Ovis aries: one gene and its partner. The protein of the gene in region 1 binds, or shares a complex with, the protein of each later gene. Links are inferred from orthologs where the notes say so. Each region holds a gene or a part of one and is shown in the gene's direction. Other genes may lie near its edges. The genes, in order: EPS15 and STON2.

The links.
Region 2: the proteins of EPS15 (region 1) and STON2 are in contact, whole or in part, in an NMR structure (PDB 2JXC), measured with the Homo sapiens proteins. The link is inferred for Ovis aries from reciprocal best matches to the Homo sapiens genes EPS15 and STON2. Residues at the interface, in NP_001972.1 of Homo sapiens: Leu139, Gly148, Lys152, Pro153, Val154, Leu155, Leu156, Asn157, Ser158, Lys159, Val162, Asp163, Leu165, Gly166, Arg167, Trp169, Glu170, His176, Gly178, Met189, Val192, Tyr193, Leu196, Glu197, Lys198; in NP_001353779.1 of Homo sapiens: Trp309, Arg310, Ala311, Thr312, Asn313, Pro314, Phe315, Glu318, Gln321, Asp322, Gln324, Pro325, Ser326, Ile328, Asn329, Pro330, Phe331, Phe334, Phe335, Glu337, Gln338, Glu339, Arg340.

Annotation. Positions count from the first base shown.
Region 1 is NC_056054.1:25,789,381-25,798,751, reverse strand, and holds the end of EPS15 (epidermal growth factor receptor substrate 15), read left to right. Parts: coding exon 1-43; intron 44-2,398; coding exon 2,399-2,583; intron 2,584-5,120; coding exon 5,121-5,267; 3' UTR 5,268-7,521; downstream 7,522-9,371. UniProt on the Homo sapiens protein: Involved in cell growth regulation. May be involved in the regulation of mitogenic signals and control of cell proliferation. Involved in the internalization of ligand-inducible receptors of the receptor tyrosine kinase (RTK) type, in particular EGFR.
Region 2 is NC_056060.1:90,899,031-90,909,244, reverse strand, and holds the start of STON2 (stonin-2), read left to right. Parts: upstream 1-5,383; 5' UTR 5,384-5,547; intron 5,548-10,214. UniProt on the Homo sapiens protein: Adapter protein involved in endocytic machinery. Involved in the synaptic vesicle recycling. May facilitate clathrin-coated vesicle uncoating.

The DNA of each region.
Region 1 (9,371 bases):
CCAAAGATAGGAACTCCAACAAGACCCTGCCCACCACCACCTGGTATGAGAGTTGGTACCTTTCCTAAATCAACTGCTTTCTTTTTCTTTCCAAGAAGTTTGTGTGAGCCTTACCTGTAGACGTTATATAAAGGGCCTTAGCAGAACAAGTCAGAAAGCATGGCAGAAGCCTGCTGTTATCATCTGTTCTGACCTCAATGCAGAATTACAGACTTGTGCCTAAGAAGCCAACCTGTGTAACTGTCAGGAATTACCTTTCTGGCAAGAGCTAATCTATTTTTAAATCATTTCAGAGAGGCAGTAAATGAAATCTCTTGCTTTTTGAAAGCTAATGAGCTTCCATTTAATCAGAGTTTCCTGCACTGTGATATTTTAATAAATTTCTATAAGGGAAGGTTAATAATCCAGAGTCCCTTTCTTTTTCCTGCTAAGTGTGAAGTCTTCCTTAAGTCCTTCAGTATGAGAATATATGGCCACTTTGGTATCAGAATGGCCAATTCAGCATTTTGGTGTCAGAATTTTGAAAGAAAGTATTGTTTTTCTTGAAGGAAAATATTATTTACCTCAATAAGAGATTCCTTTATTTTAAAAAGGTGGTGTTTTGGTCGAGAAACAGATTCTTACTTTTTTGCTTTTGTTTTGTTTAGTACTGTACCAAAGAAAGGGGTTTTGTTCAATTTTAATTAATGAAAACAATAAAGTTTATGAGAAGTGGTAAAGGGCAATCCCCTGGGTAGTTGTAGTGCCGCTAGATTGTTTTTGAGAAGACACATCTGGTACATCATTGTTTTTACCTTATATCCTTGATAAATTTTCAGCCACAGTAGTTCTAGATTTTTATTCTTGCCTTTTTATAATAGCCTGCCTGTGGTATTTCTCGGGCAGATTTCTTTTTTCTTCTTTGATTTAAAGAATTGTGAATAAAATTATTAATACCCAACTACCTATTGAAAAATCAAGTGAACAAGCGATTTCTATCTTTTAGGGAAGACTAGCCTATATCTTTTAATTGTTCTAGGGTAAATTTGTCAGAATATGTTAAAAAACAAGTGACAGTTAATTTGCTTATTTAAGTTTTATACCTTTAAGAGGTCAATAGTGAGGTGATTTTTAAAATCCTCAATAAACTAATATACTAGTGCTGTAACTAAATCTAAGACTTCAATAAACTGAGTATATATCACTGTAGAAAAATCAAAGAAAGAAGAATGAGGACTTCCTGGTGGTCCAGGGGTTAAGACTTTGCCTTCCAATGCAGAGGGTACGAGTTCAGTCCCTGGTCGGGAAGCTAAGATCCCACATGTCGAGCCCAAAAAAAACCATAAAATAGAGGCAATATTGTAACAAATTCAGTAAAGACTTTATAAAAATGGTCCACATTTAAAAAAAAAAGGGGGGGGATGGTTGTTGAACTGGGATATTAAAGATCTAAGTTCTCATTCTGAATATCCTCTGATATCCTCTGTGATCTTGAGTGTATAGAGCTTCCTATGTCTGAGCCCCAGATCTCTGAGCTGTTAGATGGTGGCATTAGTTCTCATGCTGCCCTCCAAGGGTTGTTGGAAGGATCCTTTGAGATATGAGATGTGAAAACCTTTTGTAAGCTGTGACAGAAAGACTCTGTTGTTATGGTTGCCGTTACCAGATTAACACATCTTCAGGAATATATATTTAGATTTGAAGATATTTTAACACTTATTCTTATCCTTTCTTCAGCAAGTACTAAGTTTAAGTCTTGAAAATTAGAAAACTTGTTTGAAAATGGTGATGAATAACAGTATGCTATTGTTTGGTCAAAGATTAGTTTATCAGTAACCACAGAATTTAGGCCCTGGGCTTCAAAACATTCTCTCTATCCTTCAGTTTGAAATACTGTAGATGACAAGAAGTAGCTGGGCTTTACCAAAGTAGTTTTTAATTTCATGCTCCCAGGTGTTACATATAGATCCAGAGAAAAATCAGAAGAATATTAGCATTTTTCAGAGATCATTTGCCCTTACTGCCACTTGTGGAGAATTATGTATTAGGCAGAGGTTATCACAGCAGAGGCCGTTTTTGTCATTATTTGTCATTTTCCCCCTGTTTTATCCATTCTTGTCTCTCTCCTTGGGAGCGTGCTACTTTGGAGAAGAAGTTAACTCTGAGCAGAAAAGATTCCAGGTCTGCTGCTTCACCCTTGGCTGTTTTCCCACTTACCCGCATAAAACTGGAGTGTACTTAAGAGGTTGTGTGTGAAATTTTTGACGACAGACTGTTGGTTGTGGTCATTTAAGACCATATTAAGAATGTGTTTTAGGTTCCCCATCCCCACTTCTCTAATGCTCCCTGTGTTCCTGTTGTTGTGTGTTTGTGTTTGCCATACTTGCTGGTTGAGTTAATTGTAATGATTTTGATCCAGGGAAAAGACCCATCAACAAAATGGATTCTTCTGATCCCTTTAAACTGAATGATCCATTTCAGCCTTTCCCAGGCAATGATAGCCCCAAAGAAAAAGATCCTGATATGTTTTGCGATCCATTCACTTCTACTACTACCACTACCAATAAAGAGGCTGACCCAAGCAATTTTGCTAACTTCAGTGCTGTAAGTACTGTGAATGGGCTGTTTGGGGGAAAATCTTTCCATTTATAGTTTAAAGAGCTTTCAAAGATTATTTTTGAGTCTGCCAAATTTGCATTATTTCAGCTAAATTTACCAACATGTTAAAAATGATCTTTATTCTTCCCCCAACCAAGAAAACCTCTGTTTGATTCTGTCTGCTAGTTCTGAAATTATTGCATTGTTAAGATGATTTTAGTAGTCTTAGTTCTTGGGATATATACCAGGTGCTTTGCAAAACCTTGACAGTTATTATTTTGCAAATTGTTACAGACAGTGGGCCACTAGAGAGTCATTTGCTGTCTGCCCTCTGGATAAATAATGCCAATAATGAGTTTGTGTTATTTGTAACTGTGTATGTGTGTTTGTGTATAAAACCTTGAAAATTTCTGGAGACCAGTCAGCAATTACTGTATTATATAAGAAGATAGGACCAGAAATTCTTTGAATAGAAAATAAAACTCTGGTTTCATACAGAAATGTTCTTAAAATATAAATCAGTTTTATTAAATAAATATTTTTAAGAGCTAAACAATCTTTAATTATTTGGAAGACTCTAATTCACTAGCTTCCCATATCTACTCCACATTCTCCCAAAGCTTCCCTGATGGCTCAGTCAGGAAAGAATCTGCCTGCAGTGCTTGAGACCTAGATTCTATCCCTGGGTTGGGAAGATCTTCTGGAGAAGGAAAAGGTTATCCACTCCAGTATTCTAGCCTAGAGAAGTCTATGGACTGTATAGTCCATGAGGTCGCAAAGAGTTGGATATGACTGAGCGACTTTGATTCACTCACTCAGTTCACTAGCATTCCATACCTACTCTGCATTCTCCCAGAGCTGACTAGAGTAGGCCAATAAAGACAATAGAAGGGTGTGGTGTTAAGAGTATAGGCGGGTCTTATAAGATCATAGAAATGGGGCAACCAACTGGAAATATCACCCTGGTGGGGCATTAAGCAATGACGTGTATATCATCATCATGTAGATAAACGTAAATTTTTGTTTTAATTCTTAGAGTAACTAACTGTTTCATTTCCCAGGTTGCTTTTTTTTCTAGATAAAAATGACCTTCATTATCACTGTCTATTTTATAATAAAGCAGTTTTCCTCTACTTAACAACCTCAAGCCTTTGAGATGATTCTATAAATAAGAGATCTAGTGGCCAGCTGACTGACCACAGTCTGCCTAATGTCTCCCTCAGTGTAGCTTAGGGTCACTCTTCCGATCACTTTATTCCTGCAGCCATTTCTAGTTAGTAAAGCAGGTAGGCAGAATTAGACTAGGCTATTTAGCTTTTGAATCTGTACTCTTAAGTTTCAATGGCTTCTTCCAAATGTGAAGAGGCAGAGCAGGAATCAATATTTTAAATATTGGAAAACAGAAGGTGTCAGAATTATACTGACTCTTGTTAGATGGAATTTGAGTTGTTTCAAGGAGAGAACCCAGAATTGCTCTTCTTACTATAATGCTCTTAGTACAAAATAACCTTCTGGCAGTTTGTGGCACTTAATATCTTAAATATGATTTCAATAAGTCAAAACCTGGTTGGAATGAGTCTTGAACAAAAGCAATTTGCTTTTTTCATTTTCCAGAATCTCAGTATAGTATAATATTAAGCATCTAATAATAAAAATGTCTTTTTAAATGAAAGATTTGTTAAACATTAAAAGTTTCAAAGATCTTATAATTCCCTAGAAAGAAAGCTACCATTTTCAAAAAAGCCTGACAGTTTCTTTCTTTTCATCCTGTTTGTTATGGTATTCATCCTATTATGGTGTTCTTCTATATGACAGGACTTGAAACCAAGTAGAATGTTTTTATTTAGTATCTGCCACGGTTGCTATTTGGGGTGGATACATATATTTCCTTGACTTATTAATTACCAGCATTAAGGTCTTATTTAGAATGGGTCAAAAAGTTCTCAATACCTTCTAAAATCATTATAATGCATTAAAAAAATTGATTAGGTCCACATCTTGCTTGGTATATACCCAGGACTCTTGTTTTATGTATAACAAAATTTATGTATAGTATATTCTTTGCTTTATAATTTTCCTGTACCTGAAGGGCTAGAATAAGATAGGAAATTGCCAGTGGGATTAAGTTAAAAATGATGTATCATGTGAGGATGCTCACTGAAGTTGAAGTAGTAAATGTTTTACATTAGATAAATATGCTAGTTCTCTCCTGTTTTTAAATCTGTTCCACCTTAAGAATAACCACTTTTTACAAATGATGTTTTAATGTTCAGTTTTATAGACTCTCTATCTGTAGACTGCATTGCTTTTAAGATTAAATCATATTTTGATTTAATTTTTAAGTTTAAATTTAAAGTTTTAAGTTTAAACTAATTAAACTTGTTTTTGGGGGGAAAAAAAAAATCAAGACTTTTTCCAGAGCCCTTCAGGTGAAACACATAGTTCAATTTCCTTTTGTGAAAGCTGTTTTTCCTTCTTTTCTTTGTACTTGTTTTACTCATGAATGTATTCATTTGTTTGTTCATTTATCTTTTAAATGGCAGTATCCCTCTGAGGAAGATATGATTGAGTGGGCCAAGAGAGAAAGTGAGAGAGAGGAAGAGCAGAGACTTGCCCGACTGAATCAGCAAGAGCAAGAAGACTTAGAACTGGCTATTGCACTCAGCAAATCTGAAATATCAGAAGCATGAAGAAATCTCCTGTTCTTCGTCAACCACACAACACTCTCCTTCTTGAATACTGAAGCTATTTACAATGTGTATCAAACCTACCTGTGAGCATGGGAATACAAAAGGTTTGAGATTCCTGTAAATGTGACAAAAGTTTTGGCTTTTTAAACTCCATTTCAGATTTGTCTTTTTTTTCCCCCTGTGCAAGTGGTAACCCAGATGACTTCACCTAGGCCCCTGCTCTGGTGTGCATTTAGTGTGAGCTGTTGCCTGCCTGTGCCTCTCTTACTTGTAAAGCTAGAGCACCCAAGTTTCTGCCTTCTGGAATATAGAGAAATAGTTTCACCCCTATGCTACCCTTATTCTGTAGTTACTCTAATGATAGCCAGTGGGGTTCTTAAAGTTGGCAGTATTCTCCCCTAATTTAAATGGTTGAAAGAGGGGAAGGGAAAGAACAGCCTATTTCTTTTATGATAGAGCAAATTGGCCAGTTTAAAGTACATGTTTGTATTTCCTTTTAATCAAAATACTGTTCAATTTGTTTTTTATAGACAAGAAAAAATATTTTGCATACATTGACTCCCACTGTTGAAAACAGGATGTTTTAGATGGAACCATTAGAGCTTCAGACTCAATCTTTTCCTAAATAAAAATATTAAAGCCTCATGTCTGAAATAAATTAAAAAAATTTTTTTCTGGATTTAAAGAATTTTAGATAAACAGATACCTCTCCATGATTTTAAGTACTTAGAGAATGAAGAAAAATTTTCACCTAAAATATACTCATCAATATAAGATAAGCAAAAATCTTAACCTGGCAGCCATTCTGCCATTGCCATGGCACTGTCCTCTTTAGTTCATGGTAGGTTTATTTTTTTACTTTTGTAGAAGAAACTTTAGTAAGCTAGAACTGGAAGGTACTTTAACTTTTTGTATATATATTTTTTTGTTTTCTTTAATGAAGGCTCAATTACTTGAAATGTAAAAACATTCTCTGAATACAGATGAAAAAAGTGACATGTATTAAATCATTATTGCTTTGTGTCCATCTTTGTGGATTAAAATAGTCTATTCTTTTTGTGTTTTTCACCTACAAAATTGGCAAGCTAGCAAAACTTTTTTTTTGTTTTTTTAAATTGGGAGAGAGGAGACCTGCCCAGTTATCAGATCTCTTTATGTGTTAAAAGCCTATCTTCTGCAAAACTGACTTAGCAGACAAGCTGAATTTAAAATGGACTGTGAAGTAGGCTGTAAATTGTAGAGTAATCTAAATTTTTTTAACATCAGTTACTGACTTAAATAATGTGTTGAAAACCAAGATAAAGGAAAATGCACCTAAAGAGTAATTAAATGTGTCTGTGGTCACCAAGTCAAGGTGGTATTGATCTGTGTTAATCAGAGTAACTTATTGCCTAGCTTATGAATAAATTCCAGAATATCCAATTATTTCATTTTGAAATGGTGCTTTTTTTCTCTCCACACACAATTGGATTACTGCAGTTCAAAATGAATTTAAACTACTTTCTTGCATTGCTTTTTTCTACTTTTATAAATTAAAGCATTTCAGCATGAAAGTCATACAGACAAAGCAAGGGCTGAATCATAATCACCGGGCTTTAATATTGATAAACTAATCCATTTATAAGGATATACTCCAAAAGTTGATTGAGAAGGTAGTGTTGGGAGTTGTAAATGGTAGTGGGTTTTGGGTTTTTTTTCTTCCCCTTCCACTTTAGGAAAAAGGTAAGTTGACTTGAACAACCTTCTTTTGCACTGGGAAAATGAGCAGATGTTTGAAATGGTTTTAAAATATTTTTTTTTAATTAAAAGAACACTCTGGAAAGTACTAAATATCTGTAACTTATAAACACCAACTTTCAGTGTACCTTAATCTTATGTGTGTTTAACTGGATTGCATAGATTCTTATCTTTTGTTAAAATATGTATACTCAGTGGACCAATATGATATTAAAGTATGTATATATTATATAAATATATATATATATCTAAACCTCCATGCTCACTTGAGTAGGATGAATGTCTTAGAGTCATTTATGATCATATTTTATGTTGTTGACTCTGGCTCCAGTGCCTGTGATGGAAAAGGACAGATGAGTATTCCTGAGAGCTAAGTAGCACTTATTACAAGGTTTTAACCATCTTCTACCTACTTGTTCAGATTTATTTGAGTTCTTTATAGAATTTTCTCTTATGTTTCAAACTTCTAAACTGTAGCCTGTAATTATGAGAACAATAAACTTTAAGTAATAATAAACCGTAGTCTCCATACATCCTATCTGACATGGAGTTTTGCGTGATTCTGTGTTATGTTCTTGCTGTGTCCATGGAAGGGTAGACATGCAATCAGCACAGATGAATTATGTGTAAAGTGCTTGAGACACAGTGCCTGGTATAGAATACCCAATGAATGTTAACTTGTTTTTAGTTGACACCTATTTTGTGAAAGAAAGATAGGAAATGTATGCATATGAGGATTTGTGACTCTTGGAAGGCACTGTGGTGTCAAAAATTCATGCAACCCTGGTCTGCCACTTTTAGGAAAGAAGACTTTGACAAAGATATTTAGCCTCCCTTAGCTTTAGCCACCTGATGCAAAGAACTGACTCATTTGAAAAGACCCTGATGCTGGGAAAGACTGAAGGCTGGAGGAGAAGGGGACGACAGAGGATGAGATGGTTGGATGGCATCACTGACTCAATGGACATGAGTTTGAGTAGACTCCGAGAGTTAGTGATGGACAGGGAGGCCTGGTGTGCTGCACTCCATGGGGTCGCAAAAGAGTTGGACTTGACTGAACTGAACTGAGCCTCATTTTCCTCTTTTAGTGAGCATCATAATACCCAGCTCACAGGATTGTTCTGATTGATTTGAGTTTGACAGCTTTTTAATATTATTTTAATTAAACAAATTCCGCCATGTTCTTATTAATAGAATAAGTACTGGCCATTGAACGCACTACAGCGAGCACTTTATGAGTGTGTGTGTTTAGTCACTCAGTTGTGTCCTGCTTGTTGCAGCCCCATGGACTATATAGCCTACCAGGCTCCTCTGTCCATGTTGTTTAATCTTCACAACGGCCCTAAATAGGAATGTTATTCACATCTGTGTTTTTTCAGTATTTATTTATTTACTTGGCTTCACTGGGTCTTAGTTGTGGCATGTTGGATCTTCAGATCTTTGTTGTGGCAGGCAGGATCTTTTAGTTGGGCATGTGGGATCTAATTCGCTGACCAGGGATCAGGTCTGGGCCCTCTGCATTGGGAGCATGGAGTTTAAGCCACTGAACCACCAGGGATGTCCTCAGCATCTATTTTAAAAATAGGAAAAATGAGGCTCAAAAAAGTTACAATAATGTGATTCAGATAATACAGCTAATGAGTAGATGAGCCAGGAATTGAACTTTGGCCTCTCTGATTCTAAAACATGACACTCTTTCCAGTTTACTGTGCTTTGTCTCATTTTGTATGAAAAAAACTGCCTATAGGAAACTTTAGGAACAGAGCATGATAAATAACACCAGATAACATGTTGAGCTTCAGGCAGAATCCTTCGTGCTTTACATATATTATTTCTTTTAACCCTTTAAAAAGTAACCTTGTAATGTATAGGTACTGTTTTTGTCTCCATTTTCCAGAGGTGCCCTAACGAGGCCACAGTTATGTAGTTAGTAAGTGACAGAGCTAGAATTTGAACCCAGTAGACTGGCAGTACTGTTTCAACCACTGCTCTCTATTCCTGTTAAAGGTGAGAATTCAGAGGAGAAATACCATAAATAGAACAATCCATGTAATCTCTGCTCTTGAGGATTAATGAAATAAACCTACTGCATAACACATGGCATCTTATAAAACATTTCCCAGTTCATTTTCATAGGTAATCTTTACCAGGGTTTAGAATAGTTTTTGACACATGAAAGCACTGAACAACTTTTAGTTATCAATATGACAAATGATAAAAATGAACATAGGGATGAGAGCATCCTTTCTTTTATTAAAAATGTACAAATTTCAAAGCCATGAAACTGGTAAAAACAAAAATTGTTTTCTTGGTGCTGGCAAAGCTCTGGAAAGAATGCATTAAAAGGTAGGCAAAGGTAGTACATTT
Region 2 (10,214 bases), on another chromosome or scaffold:
CCCATGAACCGCAGCACGCCAGGGCTCCCTGTCCATCACCAACTCCCAGAGTCCACCCAAACCCATGTCCATCGAGTCGGTGATGCCATCCAACCATCTCATCCTCTGTCGTCCCCTTCTTCTCCTGCCCACAATCTTTCCCAGCATCAGGGTCTTTTCAAATGAGTCCGCTCTTTGCATGAGGTGGCCAAATATTGGAGTTTCAGCTTCAACATCTGTCCCTCCAATGAACACCCAGGACTGATCTCCTTTAGGATGGACTGGTTGGATCTCCTTGCAATCCAAGGGACTCTCAAGAGTCTTCTCCAACACCACAGCTCAAAATCATCAGTTCTTCAGTGCTCAGCTTTCTTCACAGTCCAACTCTCACATCCATACATGACCACTGGCAAAACCATAGCCTTGACTAGAAGGACCTTTGTTGGCAAAGTAATGTCTCTGCTTTGGAATATGCTATCTAGGTTGGTCATAACTTTCCTTCCAAGGAGTAAGCGTCTTTTAATTTCATGGCTGCAATCACCATTTGCAATGATTTTGGAGCCATTACATTCTATTAATTTCAAAGTCAATAAAAGTTCACAGAAAGGAAAGAGCTACATGATTTGGAAGGTGTGCTGAAGGAATTAAGGAAAGGCTTGAGTGGGAAACTGGAAATCTAAATAAAGATTCTTCAGCATCACTTCAGCATCTTAGTAGCAAGATTTCCCACTTGGAAGAGTATTGTATGTGTGAGCAGGAGATGCTGGAGGAAAGAAGGGAAGCAACCAGATCCCGGTAGAGGATTTCTCTTATCTTTTCTTTTTCTCAGCCTTTTTGAGGCCAGCACTTAGAATGTGGCTGACATTGTCTACAGACCTTGCTCTCCCCAGAATTCTTCATGGCGCTTGGTCCATTAATACTTGTGGAATGGAAGCATCTTGCATAAAGACAAAACTAAACACTGTGTTATTGATAGAAGTTCACTAAGAGTTCACAGAAGGGAGGAGATCAGGAGGAGTGAGATTGTATTGAGGGATTTCTCCTGGATACAGGGTTGAGCTAGGCTTTGGGACAGAAGGACATAGACTCTTCCATTCCCATGCCCTGAAGTATCATACCAAACTGCCGGTGAAGATGGCTCTAGTCCTCTAAACCTGCAAAAGCTACCCTGCCAGGGAAGTAGCCACTAACCACACATAGCTATTTAAATACAATTGAAAATTCAGTTCTTCAGTTGCACTAACCACATTGCAAGTATCCAATAGCGACATATGCCCAGTGGCTTTCATAATAAATAGCTCAGATGGAGAACATGTCCGTTACTATAGACTGTTCAGTTGGACAATGCAGATCTAAAAAGATGTGTTGTTGAAAGCTGCAACACGACAGGAAGACAATCTGACTTTTTCATAGGCTTTTCTGTTTCTCTACACTTTTATACTTTTAGCTACTACACTTTAGGATTTAACTGACATTGCCTTCCCTGACAGTTTCTGCACTCTCGGAATGCATGCTGTGGACATGAAAAAAAAGATTCAGTGATTTTTAATACAGCCACAAAGTTGTGCAACCATAATCATCATCTAATTCTAGAACATGTTCGTCACCACAAAAGGGAACCCCAGATCCATTAAGCAAGTCACTTACCATTTCTCTTTCCCCAAGACCCTTGCTGACACTAATCTGCTTTGTGTCTCCATAAATCTGCCCATTTTGAAACGTCATCTAAAGGGTATCATACAGTATAAGGCCCTTTGGGCCTCTGGCTTCTTTCACTTAGCATAGTGTTTTCAGGCTTCATCCAAATTGTGGCATGTATCCGTATCCACTCCTTTCTTTAGCTGTATAGTATACTATCATATGGATGCACCTCATTTTGTTTATCTATTCACCAGTTGATAAGTGTTGGGTGCTTGCATTTATCCGCTATGATGAACAATGCTTCTGTGAACATCAGTGTACACATTTTTGCATGCACATATGTTTTAAATTCTCTTGAATATATACTTTAGAAGCAAAATTACTGGGTGATAAGGTAACTCTATGTTTAATTCTTTCAGGAACTGCCAAAGTGTTTTCTGAATCAGCTGCAGCATTTTATTTTGCATAAATTTAAGAGAGAACTATTATTTTCTTTACTTGATAGTGCTTGACATACAGAAACTACTTGCTCACTATCAGGTTAGGTGGGTGATCACTTTGACCCACACCAGTCTGGACCTGGAGGATGCCCTGCTGACCAGGATAAGGGTGTGGCCCCAGTCTCTTTAATGCCACCTTGTTACCCTGTTAAGGACTTTAGTCAATCAGTTCCTGTTTACTGAATACCTATTACCTCCCACTGGCTGACAGCCATGTAAACTAGAATGCTGTCATGAAGATATAACACAGGTGAGGGGATCCTACCTTTGCCTGGGAGAGCTAATGATGGCCTTATGGAGGAAGAGCTGTTTTAGTTGTCTTGAGCGCCAAGTAGCCAGGGAAGAAATCCCACACAAGAAGCAGAACCAAGCAAAGCATTTTGCTAGAGGAGCCAGGGATGAGAGATGGATACACAAAGAGTTCCTGCCAAAGGAAGGTTTCACAGTGAATGTGATGGAATCCAGATTCTTTTTTAAAAAATATTTATTTATAAACTCTTAGTTGCAGCATGTAGGATCTAGTTCCTGACCAGGGGTTGAACTCAAGCCCCCTGCCTTGGGAGCCAGGAGTCTTAGCCACTGGACCACCACGGAGGTCCCAGGAAATCAGAATCTTCCACGTATCCTTCCAGGGGGCTGAGTTTAGTGTGATGAGACTAAGGTTGATCAGTTTAAGAAATCATCTGGGGTTAGCCTAGTTCTTTGGCTGAAGGAGCCTCTTTTCTTCGGAGTGACTGCATGATCAATCCAAATGGAATTTCTGCTTTACCAAAGCCACACCCATGGTGCTTGGGAGGGATGCTGGTGAAAGAGACTTCCTCATACAGCCTGTTGTACCCTCATTTTTTATCAGGTAAGGCTTCACTATACCAATACATCTTTTCAGTATGAAGTTAATTGATTGCTTATCCATTAATGTAAACTGGAGAAAACTGAGCTCATTTTCTCCAAGGGTCTTGAGCTCTTCAAGGTAAGTGTGTTTCAGCTCACTTCCTGATGGCTCAGATGGTAAAGAAACTGCCTGCAATGCAGGAGATCCGGGTTTGATCCCTGGAACAGGAAGATCCCCTGGAGAAAGAAATGGCAACCCACTCCAGTATTCTTACCTGGAGAATCCCATGGACAGAGGAGCCTGGCGGGCTGCAGTTCATGGGGTAACAAAGTATCAGACACCACACTTTGGAAGTAATACTTAATCCTTAGGGCAAAAATCAGGCTCTCAGAATGGGTCAAGCTGGCTTTCACCAGAGTCTTTTAACTTTTCTATTAAACTAAATTTCTCTCCCAAGGGTTCTGTCAACACAGGAGAAAAGAACTAGGGGGAAATACCTGTAGGAAAATGGTTATATACTTGCTGTCAAGAAGACATTACTGCAACCAAAGTCAAAGGTAAAATAGAAACTGTGCTATTTGTTTATACTCATTGTCTAGCTGGGTGTTTGGGGATGGGGTGGGGTCCTTTGATGAGTGGTAGAACAAAGTTCTGGGAGCACCCTGATTTACAGTGGTTGTTTTATTCTTTGGAAAGATTTGTTGCAGGTGTGAGAGAATGTTGGGAGGACTGAGACTGTAAAATGGGAGGAGAGATGAAGATGCGGGCAGGTTTAACCCCTGACAGTTGCTCTCCGTTCTGACCTGTGCCTCTCCATCGCAGTGCAGGGCGACTGTCTTCCAGATGAAAATCTCTCGCACTCAGAACTGATGTCTCTTGTCCACAAGGAACCTGTGTGCATACTTATGACAGCTGTTATATGCATTTCTGAATTAATATATGCAAAGTACTTGGAAACCTGACTGGCGAATACTATGCATCATGGAAACGTTAGGGTTGTTGTTTTTATTAATCAGACTCATCTCCGTAGCTAGGTAAAGATTCCTTGTTGAGGAAGGCCTCGCTGTCCTTCTTGTCCTTAGTAATCTCTTAACGTGATTAGGACCCTGGACAAGTCGCTTACCCTTTGCAAGCTCCACAAAGATTGTGTGTCAAGTACGATCTGAGTCTAGAAACACAATTTGGTGCCCACTATTTATGAGCTACTGCCCTGCGTCCTATGCCTATATATATATATATATATATATATATATATATATCAGTTCAGTCGCTCAGTCGTGTCCAACTCTTAGCGACCCCATGGACTGCAGCACGCCAGGTATCCCTGTCCATCTCCAACTTCCGAAGTTTACTCAAACTCATGTCCATCACTGCGGTGATGCCATCCAACCATTTCCTCCTCTGTCATCCCCTTCTCCTCCCGCCTTCAATCTTTCCCAGCATCAGGGTCTTTTCCAATGAGTCAGGTGGCCCATAGGATTAATAGCTATAATTCTATAACTTATATATATGTATATATATATATATATATAGAGAGAGAGAGAGAGAGAGAGAGAGAGAGAGTATGCCTATATATATAGTCAAACCAACCTAGACAGCATATTAAAAAGCAGAGACATTACTTTGCCAACAAAGGTCCATCTAATCGAGGCTATGGTTTTTCCAGTGGTCATGTATGGTTGTGAGAGTTGGACTGTGAAGAAAGCTGAGCGCCGAAGAATTGATGCTTTTGAACTGTGGTGTTGGAGAAGACTCTTGGGAGTTCCTTGGACTGCAAGGAGATCCAACCAGTCCATCCTAAAGGAAATCAGTCCTGAATATTCATTGCAAGGACTGATGCTGAGGCTGAAACTCATTGGAAAAGACCCTGATGCTGGGAAAGATTGAAGGTAGGAGGAGAAGGGGACGACAGAGGATGAGATGGTTGGATGGCATCACCGACTCAATGGACATGAGTTTGAGTAAACTCTGGGAGTTGGCGATGGACAGGGAAGCCCGGCGTGCTACAGTCCAAGGGGTCACAGAGTCAGACACGACTGAGCGACTGAACTGAACTGAGAGTAAAAGCGTTAAATGAATGAGGAGTCAAAACCTCATATAAGAGTGAGACGGGGAACAGCAGTCTGCACCGTGCAGCCTCGACACGGGCTGTGGGACAGCCTCCTGGGCGGTCCCCAGACCCTGCACCCCCGGGCCGCACGCCTGAGCTGCACTGACCGCGCGGCAGGGCCCGGGTTGCAGCGTCTGGCTGTGAGCTCCGAGCTCCGGGTGCAGAAAGGACACCGCGGGGCTGCGGCGCGGGGGGTCGGGGTAGGGGCGGGTCCGCGCCGCGTCGGACCCGCCCACCGCCCGGCAGACCAATCAGCGCGCGGCTCTGGCTCGCTCCTCGGCCAATCCGTAGCGGCGGGAGCGGCGCCCAGCGCCGCTGGGCGCAGAGCGAGCTCGGACTGGGGAGCCTGAGGCCGGGCCGCCCCGGAGCGAGCGCGGCAGGGAGGAGCGCGCGGCGGGACGAGGGCACCCCGGGGCCGGCGCCACTCCCGCTGAGCCGCGGCCACCTTCCGGCGGACCCTCAGGACTCTGCGCGCCGCGCCGCAGGTAGCTGCTCCCCGAGCTGGGAGGCCGATCGCGCTCCGGGCTCCCGCGGGTGGAGCGGGCGGGGGGGCGGGCCGGCCGCGAGGTCGTAGCGCTGCGGGAGCTGCCCGAGCCCCTGTGGAGCCCCCCGAAGCTGCCTCGGCTGGAATGCCCCGGGGAGACGCGCTTCCCCCAGCCGCGGGCGTCCAGCGGTGAGAGCGAGCGAGGGGAGTCCGCTAAGGTGGGCAGGGGTGCAGAGTCGGGGGACAAGACGTGACCCCTGGACACCCTGCCTCGCACACAGGCGCTGTCTGCCCGTGCGTGTCCGCCCCGAGATCTGGGTCCCCGGGACGTCTTCTTGGGGCCCTAGTGAGGGAGGCGACAACAGGTGTCCTTGCGGACTGTGCTTTTCTCCACCGTCCACCCCTCACCCCAACCCTCCCCAAAACTGCTTTGGCGTTCTGCGCCCCACTTTCGGGGTATCCGGATACAGGGACCCCAGCCTGGCCTCTCAGGCACGATGCCCGCTGGACAGCGCCCAGAGGCGGCCTGGACCCGGCCTTTGGATGGAGTTTCCTCCTCTCGTTGCCAAGCGATTTGCCTGACACCCGCCCCTCTCGCTGAGATGAAGAGAGTTGATGTGGTTTGTGTGTGTGTGTTGCAGCCTGTACTAAAAGGAGCTGCCCCAGGGCTGTGAGTGAATCATTAACTGGTTTCTGTACAGCTAGTGGCCTCCGTCTCTTTCTCCGAGGCAGGTCCTTCGTGGTCTCCTGCGCTTCACTCTTCTAGACTGTAAAGTCAAAACACTGCCTTTACCTGCCCGATGGCGTGGCTTTGCGGAGTAAATGAGCCAAGCTGGAAAACACTGAGGCCAGCGCTGAAGTGTTCCATAAAGGCTGGCTTAGTGTTCATTATACGGAGCGGATGGCCTTTTTAAAGAGTAAATCAGACTTGTCCAAACTGGCCCAGTGACTCTTTGGAGTTCTGAACAGCTTTTTACACTTGAAGGGGAAAAATAATCTTACTGATGGTATCATTTAAAGGTACTATATCCTTTGAGGGATTAAAAAAAAGAAAAACAAGTCTGCTTCATTGGAATGGTGAGAGATAAATAGATTCCAACTAGTAACTGAGAAAACTTTGTAACCCTTGAAAAAAATGTGTATGAATGTTATATCATGGTACTGTGTTGCCTCATTACTATGGCTGATTTAAGGGGGAAACTTTGAGCATTGTTATACTCCCTACTCCTCCCTTAAAACAAGTGAATTTTAAAAGAGAGAGAAGAGAATAGCAAACAAAAGCCCAACCACACAACAAAATGCCAACAGCTCACAGAAGCCTAAAATTACAGTTCCCACTTGAGGTTTTTTTTTTTTTTCAGTTTCTGACCTCGGTGGTCTGCTTCGGTTCTTTGCCACTGTGTCACTTTCCTTGTTTTCTTTGAAGAGTCAAATGTTTCACTCCTTGAATTTGTCTTTTTAAAAGCTAAAATATCAATGTATATCAGACTCGCTTGGGTTTCTGAGCCCTCTGCTACTTGTTTCCTACCCCCCGACAAACCCCAGCGGACCTTCCCAGAGATTCTCTAGGGCAGGGGTCCCCAGCCTCTAGAATCTAAAGCCTGATGATCTGAGGAGCTGATGAAATAATAATAGAAACAAAGCGTGTAGTAAATGCGCTTGAATCATCCCAAAACCCCACCCCTAACTTTGGTCTGTGGAGTAATTGTCTTCCATGAAACCCGTCACTGGTGCCAAAAAGGTTGGGGAGGGCAGCTCTAGAGTAATGTTAGTGGGAACCTGCCTGTCTTTCTCAGAACATTACCCCCACAACCTGAGAGCTGGGGAGAGGACGCAGGTAAAGTGCCCCAGTGCTCCTAGGGTCTCCGGCACATTTACCAGGAGCTTTAGAATAAATACATCCACCCAGAGAACGTGACTCTCATCTGAGAGGGTAAGGAGCCGACTTCCAGAAGTAAATCTTACAATGTTAGTGAAATCGCTCAGTCATGTCTGACTCCTTGCGACCCCATGGACTGTAGCCCACCAGGCTCCTCCGTCCATGGGATTTTCCAGGCAAGAATACTGGAGTGGGTTGCCATTTCCTTCTCCAGGGGCTCTTCCTGACTCAGGAATCGAACCTGGGTCTCCTGCATTGTAGGCAGACGCTTTACTGTCTGAGCCACCAGGGAAGTCAGATGTTTCCAATGTCAGATTAATTCACCAGCCCTTTCAGTTGTTGGTGAGAAGACCGTCCCTCTACACCTGAGTGGGGGGATTTGAAAGCTGTGCTGGAGGAGACACAGAGAGGCACGTGGGGCAGGGGGCAGTTTGCCGAGTTCAGAGCCACACCCGCCCCTGACAGCTGGGAAACTTGGAGAAGTTGCTTGAAGTTTTCTGAGCCAAAGTCTCTCTCACATTACAAAATGAGGGCTCAAAAAAAACCTTTTTTTTTTTTTTTTTTTTTAAGAGGAATCGTTCTAAGGATGGTGCTAATGAATAGAAACCCCTAGTGCCATTCCAGGGATGTGGTTATAGATCGGTAGCAGACAGAGGAGGTTCACAAGGTAAGAATGATGAACTGTACCTGGGAAAGAATTTTTAAAAAGAGAGAGACTTTGTTGAGGGGATACACCTGAGCTGAGTGTAGGCTAACAGGCAATTCTCTTGTGCAGACAGAATTGAGCTGGGATTGGGAGTAAGAGTAGGGCAGAGGGGAGGATTCCAGAAAGAGAGAGTACAGGATATCAGAAGTGCTATAATAGTCATCTTAGGAAAAATGAGCAAATACCTTCTCCCACCCGCTCCGTCCCAATCTCAGTGGCTTGCTACCACCACCCATGTTATTTCTCACCCATGTTGCATGTCCAAGGCAGGTCATTCATGGTTCTGCTCCTCATGTGTCTCCATTTTGGGGCCCATTAAGGCTTAAGAATCCTGGAGAAGAGAAAGGCTACCCTCTCCAGTATTCTGGCCTGGAGAATTCCGTGGACTGTACAGTCCATGGGGTCGCAAAGAGTCGGACAAGACTGGGTGACTTTCACTTTAAAGGCTGAAGAAACAGCCTCTCTCTGGTACATACTAATCTTGTTTATGGGAGAAGGGAAAAAGAACGTGAGTGAGCAAAACAACTATGGCCCTGAGAGGTCTGCTGAGAAGGAGTGGGCTTCACTTTAGCTCTCACGCTGTTGGCCAAGGTAAGCCACATGGCCAAAGCTCATGCTGGTGGTGTGGGCACATGGAACCTCTTGCAAAGGAGGCAGAGATGATTAGGAGGGAAAGCGTAGGAGACAAGGCCAGGGAGGCGTCCCAGAGGCAGATGATACAGGGCTATGTGCCAGGAGCCTGGGACTTTACCCTATAGGCAGGGAGCTGCCATTGGAGGCTTTTTTTCAGTTGACCTATATAGTAGTAGTAGTGTTAGGCGCTCAGTCCTGTCCAACTCTTTGTGACCCCATGGACTGTAGCCTGCCAGGCTCCTCTGTCCATGGAATTCTCCAGACAAGAATACTGGAGTGGGTTGCCATTCCCTTCTCCAGGGCATCTTCCTGACCCCAGGGATCAAACCCTGATCTCCCGCATTACAAGCAGATTCTTTACCATCTGAGCCACCAGGGAAGCCCAGTTGACATATGGTTGATTTAGAAGGTTGTGTTACTCGAGAGGGTTTTAAGGTGGTTTGAGATGATCACATTTTCAGGGTGAGTGCATCTCTAGTAGCAATGTGGGGAGATTGAAGCAGTTGAGATCTCAGATCTCTCCCTCTCACTGTCTGTCACATGACTTGAGAGTCCACTCCTAAAAGTGGCTCATTCAGGTGGCCTGTCTTCACCGGTGGTTTAGTTGCTAAGTCGTGTCTGACTCTTAAGACCCCAGGACTGTAGCCTGGCAGGCTCCTCTGTCCATGGAATTCTCCAGGCAAGAATACTGGAGAGGGTTGCCGTTTCCTTCTCCAGGGGATCTTCCTGACCCAGGAATCAAACCCAGGTCTCCTGCATTGTGGGCAGATTCTTTACCGACTGAGCTACAAGGGAAGCCCACAGGTCTTCTAAAATGGGTGTCTCTCACACATTAAAGTCCTTATTTCATAATTATCATCCAAAGCAACTGTTCTCAAAGTTTAGGGTGCATTATGGAATCACCTAGAAGGCTTGAAACAGAGAAGGCAATGGCACCCCACTCCAGTACTCTTGCCTGGAAAATCCATGGACAGAGGAGCCTAGTAGGCTACAATCTATGGGGCTGCTAAGAGTCAGGCACTTCAGATTGAGCAACACTTTCACTTTTCACTTTCATGCATTGGAGAAGGAAATGGCAACCCACTCCAGTGTTCTTGCCTGGAGAATCCCAGGGGCGGGGAAGTCTGGTGGGCTGCCGTCTATGGAGTTGCACAGAGTCAGACACAACTGAAGCGACTTAGCAGCAGCAGCAGCAGAAGGCTTGAAGAAATAGATTTCTGGGCCCCCATGCCAGAGTCTCTGAACCAGCAGAGTGGGGTGAGCCTGGGAACGAGCATTTCAGAGAGGTGCTCAGGTGATAATGATGCTGGCCCAGACACCACACTCTGAAAGTCACTGAATTACAGGGAAGAATTACGACAGAGTTGAGGGGAAAGACCTGAATGGAAGGGCCTAGTGGAAGGAGGAGAAAATCTGGAAGGTCCCAAGATAATCCATGTGGCAGTTTTGC